Linked DNA regions of Macaca fascicularis. The protein of the gene in region 1 purifies or fractionates together with the protein of each later gene. This does not show direct contact. Links are inferred from orthologs where the notes say so. Each region holds a gene or a part of one and is shown in the gene's direction. Other genes may lie near its edges.

Region 1 (9,357 bases):
GAAGGGACAAATAATTCTGAAAATACAGGCTTTAAAGGCCAGACATGGTGACTCATGCCTGTAATCCCAGCACTTTGGGAGGCCAAGACAGGCAGATCACTTGAGGTCAGGAGTTCAAGGCCAGGCCAGCCAACATGTGAAACCCTATCTCTGCTAAAAATACAAAAATTAGCCAGGCATGGTGGCGGGCCTGTAATCCCAGCTACTCGGGAGGCTGAGGCAGGAGATTAGCTTGAGCCCGGGAGGTGGAGGTTGTAATGAGCTGAGATCACACCACTGTAATCCAGCTTGGGTGACAGAGCGAGACTCTGTCTCAAAAACAAAAACAAAAAACAAAACAAAACAAAAACAGGCTTTGAGCCAGTTCTCCTGTTTTCTGTTCTACATTTCACTTCTCCTCTGTAGTACCTGCCACCTCCAGGTTCCATCTCGTTGGGGCTCTGCAAGGCAAAACAGCTTCCCTCCTTCAAATTAAAGTAGTTACCACTCCTCCAGCCTCTTTTCTTCTTCAAAATATTATTAAAATTCCTTCTCTGCTAGAGGCTCTCTCCTTTGTCTTTGTGGGGTTTTAGTGTTTTTATTCCATTTCTGTAATTTTAGAGGACTCTCAAACGGGAGAAGATATGACTTACCACTTTTGGCCAAAAGCATGTCTTTCTATTAAATTGAAAAATTAGATTAAAAAAGGAAATGTGCCAAATTTTTTTTCTTTCTTTTATTTTGAGAGACAGGGTCTTGCTATCTTGCTTGGGCTGGAGTACAGTGGCTATTAACAGGTGCGATCATAGCACCCTATATCCTGGAACTCTTGGGCTCAAGTGATCCACCTCAGGTCCCAAGTATCTGGGACTACAAGCACATACCACAGCACCAGTCACTCTTTTTTTTTTTTTTTTTTGAGATAGAGTTTCACTCTTGTTATCCAGGCTAGAGTGCAATGGCACAATCTTGGCTCACCGCAACCTCGGCCTACTGGGTTCAAGCGATTCTCCTGCCTCAGCCTCCTGAGTAGCTGGGATTACAGGCATGTGCCACCACGCCTGGCTAATTTTATATTTTTAGTAGAGATGGGGTTTATCCATGTTAGTCAGGCTGGTCCCAAACTCCCAACCTCAGGTGATCCACCCGCTTTGGCCTCCCAAAGTGCTGGGATTACAGGCATGAGCCACTGTGCCCAGCCTTTTTTTTTTTTTTTTTTTTTTTTTTTTTTTTTTTTTTGAGACAAAGTCTCACTCTGTTGCCCTGTTGCCTGGGCTGGAGTGCAACGGCATAATCATAACTTACTAACCTCGACCTCCCTGGGCTGAGGTGATCCTCCCACCTCAGCCTCCTGAGTAACTGGGACTACATGCACACCTCACCATGCCTAACTAATTTTTTATTTTTTTGTAGAAATAGGGTTTTGGGTTGGGCACAGTGGGTCACATCTGTAATCCCATCACTTTGGGAAGCTGAGGCAGAAGAAGCACTTGAGTCCAGGTGTTTGAGACCAGCCTGGGCAACATGGCGACACCCTATCTACAAAAAATCAGCAGGCCATAGTGGTGTATGCCTGTAGTCCCAGCTGCTCGGGAGGCTGAGGTGGGAGGATCACTTGAGCCTAGGAGGCAAAGGTTGCAGTGAGCCGACATGACGCCAATGCATTCCAGCTTCGGTGAGAGTAAGACCCTGTCTCCCCAAAAAGAAAAGAGAAGAGAAGAGAAGGAAGGAGAGAGAAAGGGGAAAGGGGAGAAAGAAATGGCTGGTCTTCAACTCCTGGGCTCAAGCGATCCTCCTACCTCTGCCTCCCAAAAGTACTGGGATTACAGGCATGAGCTCATTTGTATTTTTATAGGGCGGTTTCATGTCCCAGAAAATTTTCTGTCTTCACTCATAAAAATTTTTAGTGAGAAGACTAAGAAATGGCCTTTGGGACAAGAGTGCTCTACCCTGGAGGTCTGGGCCACGGCACTTCTGAAGCATGAGCAGAAGCTACTAAGCAATCAGAGTATTTGCAGTTGTAGATGGGATTATGTGAAAAATGTCGCCTTAAATTGATATTCTCGGCCATGTGTGATGGCTCACACCTGTAATCCCAGCATTTTGGGAGGCTGAGGCGGGTGGATCACTTGAGCCCGGGAGTTCAAGACCAGCCTGGGCAAGATGGGAAAACCCCATCTCTACAAAAAATACTAAAATTAGCTGGGCGTGGTGGTGCACACCTGTAGTCCCAGCTACTCGGGAGGCTGAGAGGTGAGAGAATTGCTTGAGCTTAGGAGGCTGAGGCAGCAGTGAGCCGTGATTGCACGACTGCAGTCCAGCCTGGGTGACAGAGCAAAAACCCTGTCTCGAAAAATAAATATATTTGTCTTCTCCTTAAAATTGGGCTTAATCCTTTGGCACCAGGATAAGTGGAATAGGGGTAGGCAGGTTAAATAAAAGGCCTTATGAAAAATCTCCATTTAAGATCTGTATAATTGAGCCTTTTTTCATGCAGTAGGAAGTCAAGAGAGTCTTTTCACCTCTTACCTAACTATATAAAAAGGTATATTATTAGTTAAACAAGGCACACTTAGAATGTCACCTATTTGAAATGTTGAATTTCAGGCTCCTTCTTTGGTGCCTCCGGTGATTTGAGCATTGAGAGGAAAATCTCAGCTTTCAGGTTTCTGTGATCCTGTCTTGCTCCATCACCTGCACCTGGCCCCCAGTAACACCAAACTGCCTGCAGTTTCTTGGAATTGCCGTTATTTCTCGAAACCTCCTCAACCCCTCTAGCTAATTAGTTGCTCTCTTCTCTCTGTTTGCATATCATTCTCTGCATACTTCAAGTAAAGTAAATATCTTACTGTTAAACGCAGAGCTTTCATGTCTTTCACTGTAAGTCAGTGTGCTCCTTGATAGCCCTTGCTGGGTTTCATTTATTCATTTGTTTGATCTCTGGAACTATCTTAGGTGCCTGATTTGGCACTTAGTATTGGTTGTATTAATAAATGTGACTCCTTGATATTTGGAAATGAAATTTTTAAAATTCTTTAAAGGTGATCCTAGACCTTGAGGAAGAAAGGCAGCGGCATGCACAGGATACAGCTGAAGGAGATGATGTCACCTACATGCTAGAGAAGGAAAGAGAGAGGCTGACTCAACAGGTAATTAAGGTAGAGGGATTCACAGTAGCATTTGCCTGGAATCGCATTTCCCAAAGATTATTTTGCAGGATGCCAATTGGTATTGTTCAAAAAAGGGGCTTTGTGGTCAAATAAGTTTAGGAACTACTGGATTAACCAAAGTTAAACAGGTTTCTAACTTAGTTAGGATCTTTAGTATGCAGAAGCACATTGTGAGTCTTGAAGAACAAGATAGGGTATTCTGTGTTTAGAAAATCCATGGTTTTAGAAAATCTTTTATTGGCATAGATCCCTCACTGTGGGACTATTGTTCCATAGAACACTCTTTGGGGAATGGTAACTTACGGCTTGTAGCTCTCAATCTTTTGACTTAAAACCCCCAGTAAGAAATGATATTTTATTCACAACCCAGTATATATAGACACACACAGTTATGCGTGAAACAAAAATCTCATGAAATGATATATAACCCCTACTGCTTCAGTACACATTGATGTTTTCTATTTATATATTTTTTTAAAATTCTAGTCATGGCTCAATTTGTTTCCCCATCTGTTAATGGATCTCAGAGTTTGAAAAACACTGAGTTTCTTCAACCCTTACCTTCTCACAGAGAATCTCTGCCTCAAATAGGGTTGGGAAGACAATTAAAACAGACTATATTTGTGTAAAAAATATGATTCAGGCTGGGCACAGTGGTTCACGCCTGTAATCCCAGCACTTTTGGAGGCCGAGGAGGGCGGATCACCTGAGGTCAGGAGTTTGAGACCAGCCTGACCAACATGGAAAAACCCCATCTCTACTAAAGATACCAAATTAGCCGGGTGTGGTGGCGCGTGACTGATCCCAGCTACTTGGGAGGCTGAGGCAGGAGAATCGCTTGAACCCACGGGCGGAGGTTGCGGTGAGTCAATATTGCGCCATTGCACTCCAGCCTGGGAGACAAGAGCAAAACTCAGTCTCAAAAAAAAAGTATGATTCAAATGCAACTGTTTGTGTTTGTTTGTTTCTAAGACCCAAGAAAATTATTGCTGAAACTTTAAAAGGTTTGTTTTCAGCAACATTCATCACAAAATGTGGTTGATACAGCTTTCTGTTATCTTGTTTTGATTGGTTCTGATGCTCTGCACATACATGAAACGCAAAGATACATCATATTCCCACTAATCACTCCAAGACAGTACAGGAACTAGAAGTGCCTCCCAAATCATCAAAGAAAGATTAAATCATAGTGTGTGCATTTTTTGTTAGGTGTTCTAAAACTTCAGAAATACTTGATCTAAGCACTGTGATATGCATGTTAATCCTGTATACCAGAGAACAGCTAACAAAGACACTCTCCTTGATCATAGTTTTTCAGTATATCTCTCTTTTCTTTTTTTCTAGTTGGAATTTGAAAAATCCCAAGTGAAAAAGTTTGAAAAAGAACAGAAGAAGCTCTCTAGTCAGCTGGAAGAGGAGCGCTCCCGCCACAAGCAGCTCTCATCCATGCTTGTGCTTGAGTGCAAGAAAGCCACCAACAAGGCAGCCGAGGAAGGACAGAAGGCAGGAGAGCTGAGCCTGAAATTGGAGAAGGAGAAGAGCCGGGTGAGTAAGCTGGAAGAAGAGTTGGCAGCTGAGAGAAAGAGAGGCTTGCAGACTGAGGCCCAGGTAGAGAAGCAGTTGTCAGAGTTTGACATCGAAAGGGAACAACTGAGAGCAAAACTGAACCGAGAAGAGAACCGGACCAAAACTCTGAAAGAAGAAATGGAAAGCTTAAAGAAGATAGTGAAGGACCTAGAGGCTTCCCACCAGCACAGTAGCCCTAATGAGCAATTGAAGAAACCAGTAACTGTGTCCAAAGGCACAGCAACTGAGCCTCTCATGCTAATGTCTGTGTTTTGCCAAACAGAGAGTTTTCCAGCAGAAAGAACCCATGGGAGCAACATAGCCAAGATGACAAACACTGGGCTGCCTGGTCCTGCCACTCCTGCTTACTCATATGCAAAAACCAATGGCCATTGTGACCCAGAGATACAAACTACCAGGGAGCTGACTACAGGCAACAATGTAGAAAACCAAGTGCCTCCACGGGAAAAATCTGTGGCACTGGCCCAAGAGAAACCAGTGGAGAATGGTGGGTGTCCTGTGGGGATTGAGACTCCAGTCCCAATACCCAGTCCACTCCCTTCCAGTGGGAGCTCACTGTCTCCCAGCAGCACTGCCTCCTCCTCTCTAACATCCTCTCCTTGCTCTTCACCGGTACTCACTAAGCGTTTATTGGGGTCATCAGCTAGCAGCCCTGGCTACCAATCATCCTACCAAGTAGGGATCAACCAACGGTTCCATGCAGCTCGGCACAAATTTCAGTCCCAAGCAGATCAGGAGCAACAAGCCAGTGGCCTACAAAGCCCTCCGTCCAGGGATTTATCCCCCACCCTCATAGACAACTCTGCCGCCAAGCAGCTGGCCCGAAACACAGTCACTCAGGTGCTCTCCAGATTCACTAGCCAACAAGGGCCAATCAAGCCAGTCTCTCCCAACAGCTCTCCCTTTGGCACAGACTATCGAAATCTGGCCAATACTGCCAATGCAAGAGGTGACACAAGCCATTCACCTACTCCAGGGAAAGTGTCCAGTCCCCTGAGCCCCCTGTCTCCAGGAATCAAGTCCCCAACCATCCCCAGAGCTGAGAGAGGAAACCCTCCACCCATCCCACCCAAAAAACCTGGCCTCACCCCTTCTCCATCTGCTACCACTCCACTGACCAAAACTCATTCCCAGGCAGCCTCTTTGACCACCACAGAAGACCTTGCCAGCAGCTGCTCTTCCAATACTGTTGTAGCAAATGGTAAGGATGTTGAGTTACTTTTGCCTACCAGCAGCTAGTCCCTAGGAGGGAGTCTCCACGTTTGACATTCCATCAGATTTCGTCCAAGAGCTCAGTCAGACTTTTGAGTCAGATTACGTTATTTATTTTGATAGTAACTGAAACCATCTGTATAATACATTTAGTGTATTTCACCATTTTGTATTTTTTAAGTAGAAACTGAGTAGTTTGGATTTTTATGGCTCACATCTTTTTACTGAAGCCAGAAAGGCACCTCAAAGATGTCTCAAGCTCAGCAGTCACCGTCATGTTGTGATGAAGAAAGCAAATCACCAGGTGGTGATTTGGTATCTATTTGGGAACTAAAATCACTCAACACTCATTTTGAATTATGCAGAAGTGGTTCATGCAGATTTTTATTCCAGATGAACATGTTTTAAAAGTGCCTGAAATATGACTGCCATATGAATGTGATTCTGCAGCAAAAAACACAAAATGGATCATTTAATTGCAGAAAATGACATCCTCTGCGAATTTTGAATGTTAAAAACCAACACTGCTTTTGATTCTCTTTTAATGTTTTAATACAAGCTTTGTGTTCTGAAACAAGGCTGCATACGTAGAATGGGAATCCTTCTAAAGGTGGGTGTGAACTCACCACAAGCTGAGCTTTATAGAGCCCTTGAGAAACCCTCCTGAGAAAATCAGTTGGGGTGCTGATTTTCTTGTACTTTTGAAAAATTGAGTCACCCCCAGTTTCTTGCATAAGTTCTTGAACAGAATGAAATCACATCTCCATTCAAAAAATGTCTCAGACATCTACTGTTGTGTAAGGAACTTCTGATTCTGATTGCTGTTACTTGAATAGGAAATGGTTACTCATTCTGTATAAAAGTTTTGCAACAGAATGAAATTTTTATTCTGTAATCAAAAAGCAATAACTTGAAATTCACTCTTTGTAATATTATAAGTCAGAATTATACAAGTTTTACCAAATTGTTACACTTATTCTCCAAGCTGCCACAACCTGGTATCTGTATCTCTAAAACCAAATTAACTTTTGCTTAAATGGGAAGTATACATAGATCTGTACAGAAACATTACCCCTTTACATGTTTAACATACACACACTTAAACACATAAATATTAGTGTGATTATATCTTTGGAGTTTGCAATATAGCATAAAGGACAAGTAGAACTGCACATTAAGATTACCTACCAAAGCAACTAGATGTGGCTGGGACGCAATCAAAGGAGGAGTTTTGTCCACAGGATGGTGGGGAAAATCCAAATGAAGCCCAGATCTTCAGTATCATAAAAAGGCAGAGCTGGCCAGGCACAGTGGCTCATGCCTGTAATCCTATCACTTTGGGAGGCTGAGATGGGAGGATCGCTTGAGACCAGGTGTTCAAGACCAGCCTCATCAACATAGCGAGACCCCATCTCTATTAAAAAAAATAAATAGGCAGAACTAAACTAGCCCCAGTGTCACAAAACTCAACTGGTCATATAAATGAGTGAAACAGGCCTCTCAAGTGGTGTAAAACAGCTGGGAGTAGTGGGAGCTGTGGCAAACTGAAGTGCCCAAGCCCCATTTAAAAAAGGCATCTGTTCAGCTCCATCTGCTTGCTGCCATGCAAGAATGCTAAACCAGGATAACCAGTTCTTCACATTTTTTGAAATCCAGATTTTCATGAGAAATATTCTCATTTTTAAATATCAAGAACTGATTTTAAAATGTTTAAATAGTGCTGGTTAAACAAACACTTCTGCAGCTGGATTTAGGTTGCAAGCTGCCAAGTTGCAACCTCTTTCATTCTAGAAACTTCTGTCATTTTCATCATAGCAAATCTATGTGGACAAAAGCCTCCAAATTTTCCAACTGTGTAGGCCAGTACAGCTGGCAAGGTTCATAGAATATAATGACTATCCCCCTCTGCCAAATAAGACTATCCACAACCCAGCTCAGACACAGTAGTTATATGGATTTTGTGTCCATACAGGGGAGGCCTTGGTGTCCTCACATACATTCTCCTAGCCAACATCTATCCAGCAGCCCTGACCTCCTGCTATAATTTAAGTCTATTTCCTTTTAGTCTAATAAGAGTTGATAGTAAAAAGGCAGGTGATGGAAATCAGTGTATAAATCACAATGGAGTATATTGGCGACTCCACAGCTTATAGTTTGATAAAGGCAAATACGTGAAAAATGAAAATGCTACTAATGCCCCAAGGTGTCTATCAAAATGATGTAGGGGGTATCTTAAACTGTCCAAAACAATCATGCATTGAACTTTATTCCTATGCAGAGCCAATAGTGTTGATAAAATAGTTAAACTTTCTAAACTGGAGAGGAGGCTACAGTGCCAGAGAGTTATTGTCTCTTTTGCTTTAAATGGTAATCTTAAAAGTTGCATTGTGCTCTTCCTTTGTTTGGGGATAGATATATATAGAGAGAGATACTATAAGGAAGTTTATTTCTTAGGAAGTGCACTGAATAATGCATTTCTTTTACAGTGTAATATGGGGGTGGGGATATGCAAAAGAAATGTGTATTTTTGCTAGTTGCCTATCTTCTGAGATAAATAAGCACAATCTTGCAATGGATCCAATAACCCAGTTAGGTATTATAGATTAGTATTTAAGTTTGCTGTAGATTGTGTGTGTGTGCTAAGTAAAAGTTCCATGATTCACAATTTTAGTATTAACCCATGTTGCAAAAGCTGTTACCGGCCAACAGATTGTAATGATGTGTACCATATAACACAAGCATTAACTAGGCATTAACGTTTGTAAAGCCAAATACACCATGCAGAAGTCTTCATTTTTATAACAGACTACATTAAAACAAGTTAAATCATGCTGTTTGGGGGGAAAATAGTCTTGTTTGTACAAAGTGAAAAATGGCACAATTTGGGCATATTTTGTTGGGAAGAGGGGGTGGTATAGAGGGAGCACTTGACTGTGGCTTTGACAAACCAAATGAAGTCAATGACCCATCCAGGTTAGACTCCCTAAGGAACTAAAACATTGATTTTCTTTAGAGTCTTAGAGCTGGAAAAAGCCTTTACAATAATCCAGTCTGTGATTTTTTAAACCATTTGGTGGTTCTGGACCTTTTTGAGAATCTTAGAAAAGATGTAAAGTTTATCCCTAGAAAAATGAATATGCCTATATGCAAAATTTGTTTGATGGCTTCATAGGATCCAGAGACCCTGAAGCCATCCATGGCTCATGTATTCCTGCTTAAGAAAGCATAGTCTTGTTCTGCCCTCTCATTTTACAAATGATTAATGCAACCCTTTTCAACTACTCCAGTGCTGTTGCTGCTGCAATGTTAGCAAATGCAAGCCAGACAGAAGCACTTGAAAATCCTTTGATGTACAAAAAATGTTCAAACAGTGTGGATGTTTACATATCTGATGTTGCCAGCATTTAAG
Region 2 (9,357 bases), on another chromosome or scaffold:
ATAATAATAAAAATTAAAAAATAAAAGTTTTTCTTGCTGTAAGAATTAGAAAAAGTATTTGTACTTCTATAAATTTCAGTTTTTGTTTAATTAGTGCTTAATGGGCCTTCAAATATGCCTTTAAATATTGATATTAATATTGTCTAGTATCCTGTTATACCCCTACAGTTTTCTCATTGCTGATAAGACATCACATTTTTTATTTGAAATTGTTTTGTTGCGTTTATTATATTTAGAATATTGGATAGATTTAGAAAGAAAATGAAGACATTAAATTTGCAGTTGAAAGATGCTCTACACAATAGAGTAAAGACTAAATTGTGAAATCTGCTGTCATCTTTTGGCAGCGTTTGAGAAACTAGGATTAGAGCAGGGAAGTTTCATCATTTCCTCAACTTGGCACCGTGTCACACTGAAACTATCTGGCTATAGTATGTAAATAATATTATATAATTTGGGATCCTCAGTTTGAACAGTAGCTTCCATAATAGCTCCTAATTTCTTTCCCTTCTGTAACTTCCAGTTCATGTGTACAGGAAGATTTTGACTTTACATAATCTGTAACAAAACTTTGTCAAGGCTTTATTATGTTTCACATTAACTATCATATAATGAAATTATTTACAAGGTAGTATTTAATAAAGTCATTTTATGTTACACACAAATAAGAGAACATTGAAAGATCAACAAAAGCTTTACAGAAGAGATGAAACTGGTGTGGAGGAATGGGTAGAATTTAGATAGGCTGAGGTGCATGTTAGAAGATTAGAAAGTGTGTGTGTGTGTGTGTGTGTGTGTGTGTGTGTGTAGAAAGCATTCTCACCTTTCTGAGAATGGGTGAGGACAAATATGACAAAATATGGCAGAAGTAAACTCAGTGAACACTGAAACTACATATGGAAACTGCTTTGACTGGAAAATGGAGGGAGTTTGTATTGTGGATCATTAAAAGATAAGATGGGGTAGAAAAAATAGGATCAGATCATAAAGCACATGATGAAAGGTTAAGTACATGATTTTAGTTAACTTTGATCCAGAGTGTTGAAGTGCTACTTGTGGTTTCTCAGTGAGGGGAGATATAATAAATGTAATAATTTTGGAAAATTAGTTGTAGTGTATTAATGTGATTGAAGGTAAATGGAGCTCAGAGATAGAAGAACCGATTAGGAGTCTGTTATAGTAATTCATAAGGTTGAAAGCCTTGATTAAAGTCAATAGAGAGATAAACTTGGAGAATACTTTAAAGGAAGATTCTTTTTTTAAAAAAGCCCCCACCCTTTTATAATTTTACAAGTTGAAGAAGAATTAAGATATGGTTGCAGATTTTTAAGAAGCGAAATTAAATAAAGGATGGTGGTAGTCATACAAGTGGGAAAGATACAAATGGGAGCTATTTTTGAGAAAGAATAATGTTTATGTTCTTTTACATTGAATTTAACTGGTGGTTGGATATCTAGTAGACAGTTTTTTGTTTATTGGAGAATTTGTTTACAGTCATTTCTCTGTGGGGGAAAATCCTCAGGTAACACTGAGTTTCTTCATTATTATTAGTTAGGAAATTCAGACTACATAACATATTACCTAATCCAGAAGTAGAGTTGTTTAAGCATTTCTAAGAAATTAGGAATTACTGTAAAATAGGACCAATAAATGTTTAAAAGTCCACCTATTTCCACTAAATTTTACCATCTAATTGTCTGGTATTTTGTTAAGGATACATAGATGGGTAATAGTTCTTAGAGTTACTTACACTCAAATAGCCACAGTGAACTTAACATCCATTAATGATGACGTTAGTAAATATAAGGTTATAATGTTTGACCTTGGACTTACCTATTTTATTTTTTTAAACTTATGTAGATTATAAAGCATTGTCTTTTCAAAGTATTTTTTTCTGACATTCTTAAAACTTGTTTTCTTTCAAAATATATGGTTCAAAATAAATAATTCTGCTATTTCTAAAGTTCAGAGTTAAAGAATATTCTACAATACTACAGAAGCTTTTGAGTTTTATATGTTTTGGCCTGAATTATCCAGGCAACAGCCAAAATTCTTCCCTTACATTTGTGGCTTATGACAGTGCTGACTTTCATATCATGAGAAACTCAGAGATCTATCTCATGGATAAATCAGGTTTTTCAGATTTGGGAAAAATGAGAAAAACATTTTGGAAGAAATTGGGGATGATTTGTTAATGACAAATTTGTACTAACATGGCAGGAAAATATCCATGGAAACACCAGGTAAAGTTAATCGTTTGTTGCACCCTCATAAAAATTATTTGTACTTATTCCTTTGTTAACTTTTTTAAACAGTGAATTATGTTGAAAAGCCCTTATTTTATTCTTTATACTGGTAAATGTTAACCTTAAACACCAAAATTTTCCTTTGTTTTAATGATACCTTCTGTGTCTGTGAGTTTACAGAACTGTAAAGAACTGTCTCTAAAGTATTCTATGGAGATATATATATATCTTTAGAGAGAGAGATATATGTAATACATATATGTATCTTTATATATATCTCTCTCTCTCTCCACAGAAATAATAAATATTTAAACTCAATGTGTTTTGGGGGATGGTATAGAAAATGGAAGACATCTTTAATTTTCTGATATTTTAATAACTGAGACTTCTTAATAGTCTGTTTTGTTAATGAACTGGTTTTAGACGCTGCTGGCAAGTCAAGCGGTAGCCATTAAATGAACCTCTACTGCTGACATTAATTTACAGGGGCCAACAGGACAAAACTCTACGACATGATAGCTGATCTGGGAGATGATGAGCTGCCCCACATCCCTTCAGGAATCATTAATCAGTCTAGGTCAGCCTCTACTAGAATGACTGATCATGAAGGTGCAAGAGCAGAGGAAGGTACAGAATTTAGCTACCATGTTTATTTACATTTCAGAAGACCTTAAATCCAAATCACATCTTAATATTGCAACTAGGCTACTGTTTAAAATGTTGATGATCATTTTATATGATCTTTAGAGAAGGTGTTGGGCAAGCTCTTGATGTAATTAATTTAGGGATTTTGACATTTCTGGCTTCTATTTCTTCATATTTTGTTTTCATTTTTAATGTGAGGAGGAGTTGTTTCCATCATAGGTGAATTCAGAGTCTTTAATTTTAACTACAGATCCAGTAATGGGAAAATAGTAACTTACAAAAACAAACTTAAAATAATACATATGGAAAAAGCTGCTCATTTTGTCTTATTGCTTAAATTTAGCAGCTAATAATAATTACCACTTACTAGAAGACAACTGTGGTGCCAGGCATTGTGCTTGGAACCTTTTTTTTTTTTTCTTTCTTTCTTTTTTTTTTTCCATGAGACTGAGTCTCACTCTGTTGCCCAGGCTGGAGTGCAGCTCACTGCAACTTTCGCCTCCTGGGGTCAAGCGAGTCTCCTGCCTCAGCCTCCCAAGTAGCTGGGACTACAGGTGCATGCCACCATGCCTGGCCAGTTTTTTGTATTTTTAGTAGAGACAGAATATTACCATGTTGGCCAGGCTGGTCTCAAACTCCTGACCTCAAGTGATCCGCCTACCTTGGCTCCCAAAGTGCTAGGATTACAGGTGTTAGCCACAGTGCCCAACCTGTTACTTTAAATATGTATTACTTTAAAAAATATGTGTAACTGTTGCCTCAATTAATCCTTTGAGAATAAGGCAATATCATTATTCTTTAACTTGGTAGCAAGTATATGCTACCTAGTAATGAATTTTATAAAATTTGCCTAAACTAGAAATGTGTAGGAAATGAAAGTACTACTTAAACGTTTTTTCCAAAATTGATTTTGGCCAAAGATATATAGGTATACTTGAATCATTTATAACTCTAAGTCTAGATGTTTATAAGTATTGAATCTGAGTTTTTAACCAAAGATTATTGTGACATACGAGATACAGTAATTTGGCATATATATTAAATTTCATTGATGTTATTGCCTTTGCTGTGTAAAGAGGATTTGTTTGATGTCCCAGTCAAAAAATTTTAAATGCATCTTGTTCCCTTTTAAGATTTCCCTAGTGGCACAGTTTCCTTACAGTTAAATAATTTTGCATTTTTTTCCCTCTCATAATTTACCATTTACTTCACTCACCTTAAAAAAATCACTAAAATAACAGTCATTCAAAGCAAAATGAATGAAAAATAAAATAGTGTCTGTTAATTTTTTCAGATCTCATTTCCACTATTGAGATATATTCCTGTTTTACTTTAGAATGAAAAATAAAATAGTGTCTGTTAATTTTTTCAGATCTCATTTCCATTATTGAGATATATTCCTGTTTTACTTTAGAAGTATTTTCTAAACTACACATAGCAACTCCATTTTTTTTTTTTAATGCATTTAGTGATGATTTTGCTTCATTTTTGGTCTGTTTTGCCAAATATGCATAGCACAACTTGCTAAAATTTTTGTAATTAATGTACATTTAAACTGCAAGTTTTGCAGTTTAAGGCAAACCCATGTTAGCAGTGTGAACCCTTTTAAATGTTTCAAACCAATGACTTATGGTAAAAGCCAATCAAGGCACACTCTACACAAAAACCAGCTTAGAGCTCTCTATGTGTGTTTGTTTATGTGTTATGTGTGTGTGTTAAAGAAAGAATATAGGTCAGTGATCTGTTTCTTGATGCTGGGAGGAGGGCGAGGGGAGAGATTTGATAAGTGTGAACTTCATTACAGTTTTTGAAGTGTCGATCTTACTAGAATTTGTTATTTAAAGAGATGTGAGTTTGACTTCAAGCTAAGAAGGCAGCTTTGGAGTACATAATCTCTTTATTTTCAGTGGCACTGTCCAACTTACTTCTTTACTTTTGAAGTCCATGTCCTACCTCATTTTGTAAAGAACAATGTCTGTTTTCTAGGAGTGGTACTTCAACATTACAATCTTCTAGACTGTTGTTACTAAAGACTTGAGACATATCACATTGCCGCTGGTATAAATGGAATCTGTAACCTGGACTAAGTTCTTGGGAAAAAGAGTTCAGTATGTGAGCTACAGGTTTTCTTCATGATAAGTGTCCATCAAAAGGAAGATTAGTTATAAAAATCTGAAAAAAACCTTGTATTTTATAGACCCATTATACTAGTATTGTTATATTACTTGATGAAATCCTTCTTAGGCCTCCTAATAAAATGTCTTATAATTTCCATCATTAAATTAAAAACTAGGCCAGGCATAGTAGCTCATGCCTGTAATTCCAGCACTTTGGGAGCCCAAGGCAGGAGGATCACTTGAGCCCAGGAATTCAAGACCAGCCTGGGCAACATAGCAAAACCCTGTCTCTATTAGAAAAAAAAAAAAAAAAAGATACCAAAACTAATTTTTTAGGCTGGTTAAAATAATTATATTTTTCTTTGAATTACTAATGACATTTTTATACTATGGGTAATTATATTACCATTAATAAAATGAATTTTTAGGATAGAAATTAATTCCATCTGCAGGGAAATAAGGGTAAACAAATGAGTAGCTGCTGGGATTACCATATGCCACAGTGATGGGTAATATGGAAAGCAGAGATAATAGTGTAAAAGAAGTTTTACACATATATATGTAAATAAATACTGAGTAAGCAGAATAGTTTGCAATATCTACATAAATATGTCATGAAATATATGTGTGTATATAGAGAAAAGGATAGAAATGTGGTCATATGATTAATTAGAAATGAGTATAATACTAATTTTTTGTTAAGTACAATTAATCCAAAACGCGAGTAAAACTAACATCCAGACACTAACCTTCACATGCTCCTAAATTGGTCAGTGGCTGATCAGAGATAGTCCTGCAAAATGATTTGTTACGTTAAAGTTATTTTATTGGGCTTTGTGTCAGTGAATGTTTGTATAATTGTGAGTGGGAATAACTGTGGCATTTTAGAAACAAATTATGAGCTTAAAGTAAAAATATTTCTTTGTCTAGAGAAAAATGCTTTGAGTAAATGTTATCTAATGACTTTTATGTACTTATCCTTAAACATAAGTTTAAATTATTGATTTTATAGTTGATAGCTGCTTCTGGTATTGCCAATAACTGCATGCTAATAATTTGTAGGAAAAGATCAATGCTACAGATTATTCAGATTCATAAGTGTCATAATTGAAAGATTAACTAAATACTAGTTAGGATCTCTATGTATATATTTTCTTTCAGGTGCTTTCAGATTCATTTTAGATCAAGTAACTGAATCAGAGCTGCATTTTAGAACCCTATTTGAGTCAGATTATATAGCTTACTTTGATAGATAAAATAATAAAATAACAAGATGTTTTAAATAAAGATGAATTTTATTTTGCCATAGTATACATATATGAATTATATCTTCTCAGAATTATTTCCAGTAGTATTAGTGATGACTGTCAAGTTTCATTACAGCTCTTGTGTTTCCTGTAGCATATTTATATCATTTTTCATGGGAATTTTTAAAAAATTGACAAACAGCTTAATTTTTTTTGTATAATGTTTCCCTTTTAAATTTGCTCATGAATTTTAAGTGTGTTTTAATATATTGAGTTTTATATTATAATGATTTGAGTATTTCTCCCTTGTTACCTTAATGTTAAGTTTTTGCTTTCAAAGCATTTGAAATTATATTGAAGGTTGTTGCTTAAACTATGACTGTTACAACAAAATATTTAGATAATAGTTATTCAATTATGGCAGAGTTTAATTGGTTAATAGTATGTATAGAAAGGAAAACACATTTTAAATAATTCGAACTGCTAATATTAACATGAAAAGCTGTAATAATGCACATGATATAGTCAAGAAATCTAAGTGAAGCTCAACCTGAGTTTAGTTTGAAATTGAAATGGCACATCTGATCAGAAATTAAAACTCTGTGGTCAAGATTAGTTGCTTCATTTTAGAATGTCATGGTAACTAGAATGGGACATTAAAATAAAAATCATAGTCAAAGCTTTAAAGCCGGAAGACAGGCTGGACGCGGTGGCTCACGCCTGTAATCCCAGCACTTTGGGAGACCGAGGTGGGTGGATCACTTGAAGTCAAGAGTTCAAGACCATTCTGGCCAACAAGGTGAAAGCCTATCTCTCCTAAAAACAAAAAAATTAGCTGGGCGTGATGGCTGGCACCTGTAATCCCAGCTACTTGGAGGCTAAGACAGGAGAATTGCTTGAACTCAGCAGGTGGAGGTTGCAGTGAGCCAAGATCGCACCACTGTACTCCAGCCTGGGTGACAGAGCAAGACTCTGTAAATAAATAAATTAATTAATTAATTAAATAAAGCTGGAAGATGTTCTGAAGTCCACATGGATTAACCTCTTTATAGAAAGGAAACTGACGTTGTTGGTGGAAGAACTTTTTCCTAGACCATTGCTGTTACTGAAGGAATCTGAACAATTAAAGCTTCATTCTAGTGAACTGATACAGTATATAGCTGACTGTAAACCATTTACATTTCAGTGTTTGTACTAGTTTTTATCAGGGACTAGAATGCCTAGTACTTCTTTAGAAAGCAAAAGGACTTAGCAACAACCTATTAACATTTAAAAAATACTGTATGACTACTTTGAGGTCCTTGAGGTCCATGGTAGAGATTTCCCCCCATGAATAGCAAAAATCTGATATTTAACTCCATTGTTTAATCAAAATTTGTCCTATTTCTTATTTAACATGTAAACTATAGTTATAATTGTACTGAAGTGATAAGAGATTTAGACAAAGCTTTTGTGCCCCAACTTCCACCCCAGAATAATATATCTAGTGCACATTTTATTTGTGGACAGTTACTACACCACAGTTCCAACACATTTGTTTAACACTGCTTAGTAACAGGATTTTTTGAGTAGAAGTGGGAAAATAAAAATTAATTATATTACTGAATATTGTAACTGTTAAGTGCTTAAATTTTCCCCACAATATTGTCTTGTACTGTATGATTTTTCAGCATTTAAGAAGCGGTTTTGTTCTTTATAGCTGAACCAATAACGTTTCCATCTGGAGGAGGCAAGTCATTTATTATGGGTTCTGATGATGTTTTGTTAAGTGTACTGGGCCTTGGAGACCTTGCAGACTTGACGGTAACAAATGATGCAGACTATAGTTATGATGTAAGTGCAGTTTTATTTTTAATTTTTTAATGATTTAATAGAAGGCTCCTTATTTTTTGGAATCACTTATAAAACAGAATTAATGTCAAGGTGCATGGAAGAGATAAGTTTGTGTCAATGTGTTGATTTGAAGTGACATGTAGTTTTTCTTTTATAACTACTTTCTTTGTGGTATTTAAATTTTGTTTTAGGTATTTTGGTGGATTAACTAGAAGTTTGAGATGATTAATATATTGGTCAATAAATACATCTTGAGTAGTCAACTCTCAATTATCTCAAATTAAGCCATATTTTGGTGTTAACAAGAAAAAAAATAACCTGAATCACTTATTTGCCTTCAGAATACTTCTTAAAAAGCATGTTTTATTTTTGAACTTTTATTTTCTTAAGGAAATATTTTAAAGTTTCCAAACATTTTAAAGTTAGCTTGCATCATTTCCTGAATACTTAACTCCATTAGAGGGATGGGGAGTGGATGGAAGGGATAGGGAGTCCAGTGTTAGAGGTGAAACTTGTCTTGGATTTAATTTTTCTAGATATTAATATTTCAATTGAGAGTTAACTATACCTGTTAGATCTTTATGTTAATTGCAGTTTTTCAGCAATTTTTTTTCTTTTTATAATGAATTTCTTTTTCTACATTTTATAGTTAACGTTAGCATGCTTTTTAGAGACAGCCTTTGGTGGGCTGGATTATTCTCATTAATATTTTTTTTAAATACATAAGCAACTAAATTCCAGTAAACTTTTGACTGCTTTAGAAGTGGTTTCACAGCCTGTCTTTACAGATGGAGAAATGTGAAGGTAAAAAGATAAACCTCTGTCAATACCAAGAATTATGAAAATGGGATAAAAATATTCTTAAAGGGTCTTTAGTTCAGACTTTCAGAAAGTACCTTAACTTGCTGCCTTTAAAAATTTCACGTTATACATTTCCTAAATGACTTTACTGTTAATACTGTACCGTTGGATATTTGTAATATGTAATTATTTTTCATGTAAAGTATTGCAGCAATGGTAGCAATGATGATTTTGTTCTCATCTGACATTTAATAGGAGCTTTGGGTTTAGCTTGATAGGTATAAACAGACTAAAGAACTCTGCATTTGATCTAGGCTATTTGTAAGGCAAATGAAATTATTCTGAGTTATTATTAAATGATAAAGTTTTTTTAGAAAGTTTTAAAGGTACATTAAATTTCCACTGGACATTTTAGCCAAACAGTTTTAAATATATGTGTTAAACACACCAAAAAGAAACGAATAAACA

What was found.
Region 2: the proteins of CTTNBP2NL (region 1) and STRN3 purify together in Homo sapiens (affinity purification with mass spectrometry; 4 studies listed by BioGRID and IntAct, with this or other methods). This does not show direct contact. The link is inferred for Macaca fascicularis from reciprocal best matches to the Homo sapiens genes CTTNBP2NL and STRN3.

Annotation. Positions count from the first base shown.
Region 1 is NC_088375.1:121,931,208-121,940,564, reverse strand, and holds part of CTTNBP2NL (CTTNBP2 N-terminal-like protein), read left to right. Parts: intron 1-3,020; coding exon 3,021-3,128; intron 3,129-4,493; coding exon 4,494-5,975; 3' UTR 5,976-9,357. UniProt on the Homo sapiens protein: Regulates lamellipodial actin dynamics in a CTTN-dependent manner. Associates with core striatin-interacting phosphatase and kinase (STRIPAK) complex to form CTTNBP2NL-STRIPAK complexes.
Region 2 is NC_088381.1:98,725,257-98,734,613, reverse strand, and holds part of STRN3 (striatin-3), read left to right. Parts: intron 1-2,732; coding exon 2,733-2,873; intron 2,874-7,954; coding exon 7,955-8,088; intron 8,089-9,357. UniProt on the Homo sapiens protein: Calmodulin-binding scaffolding protein which is the center of the striatin-interacting phosphatase and kinase (STRIPAK) complexes.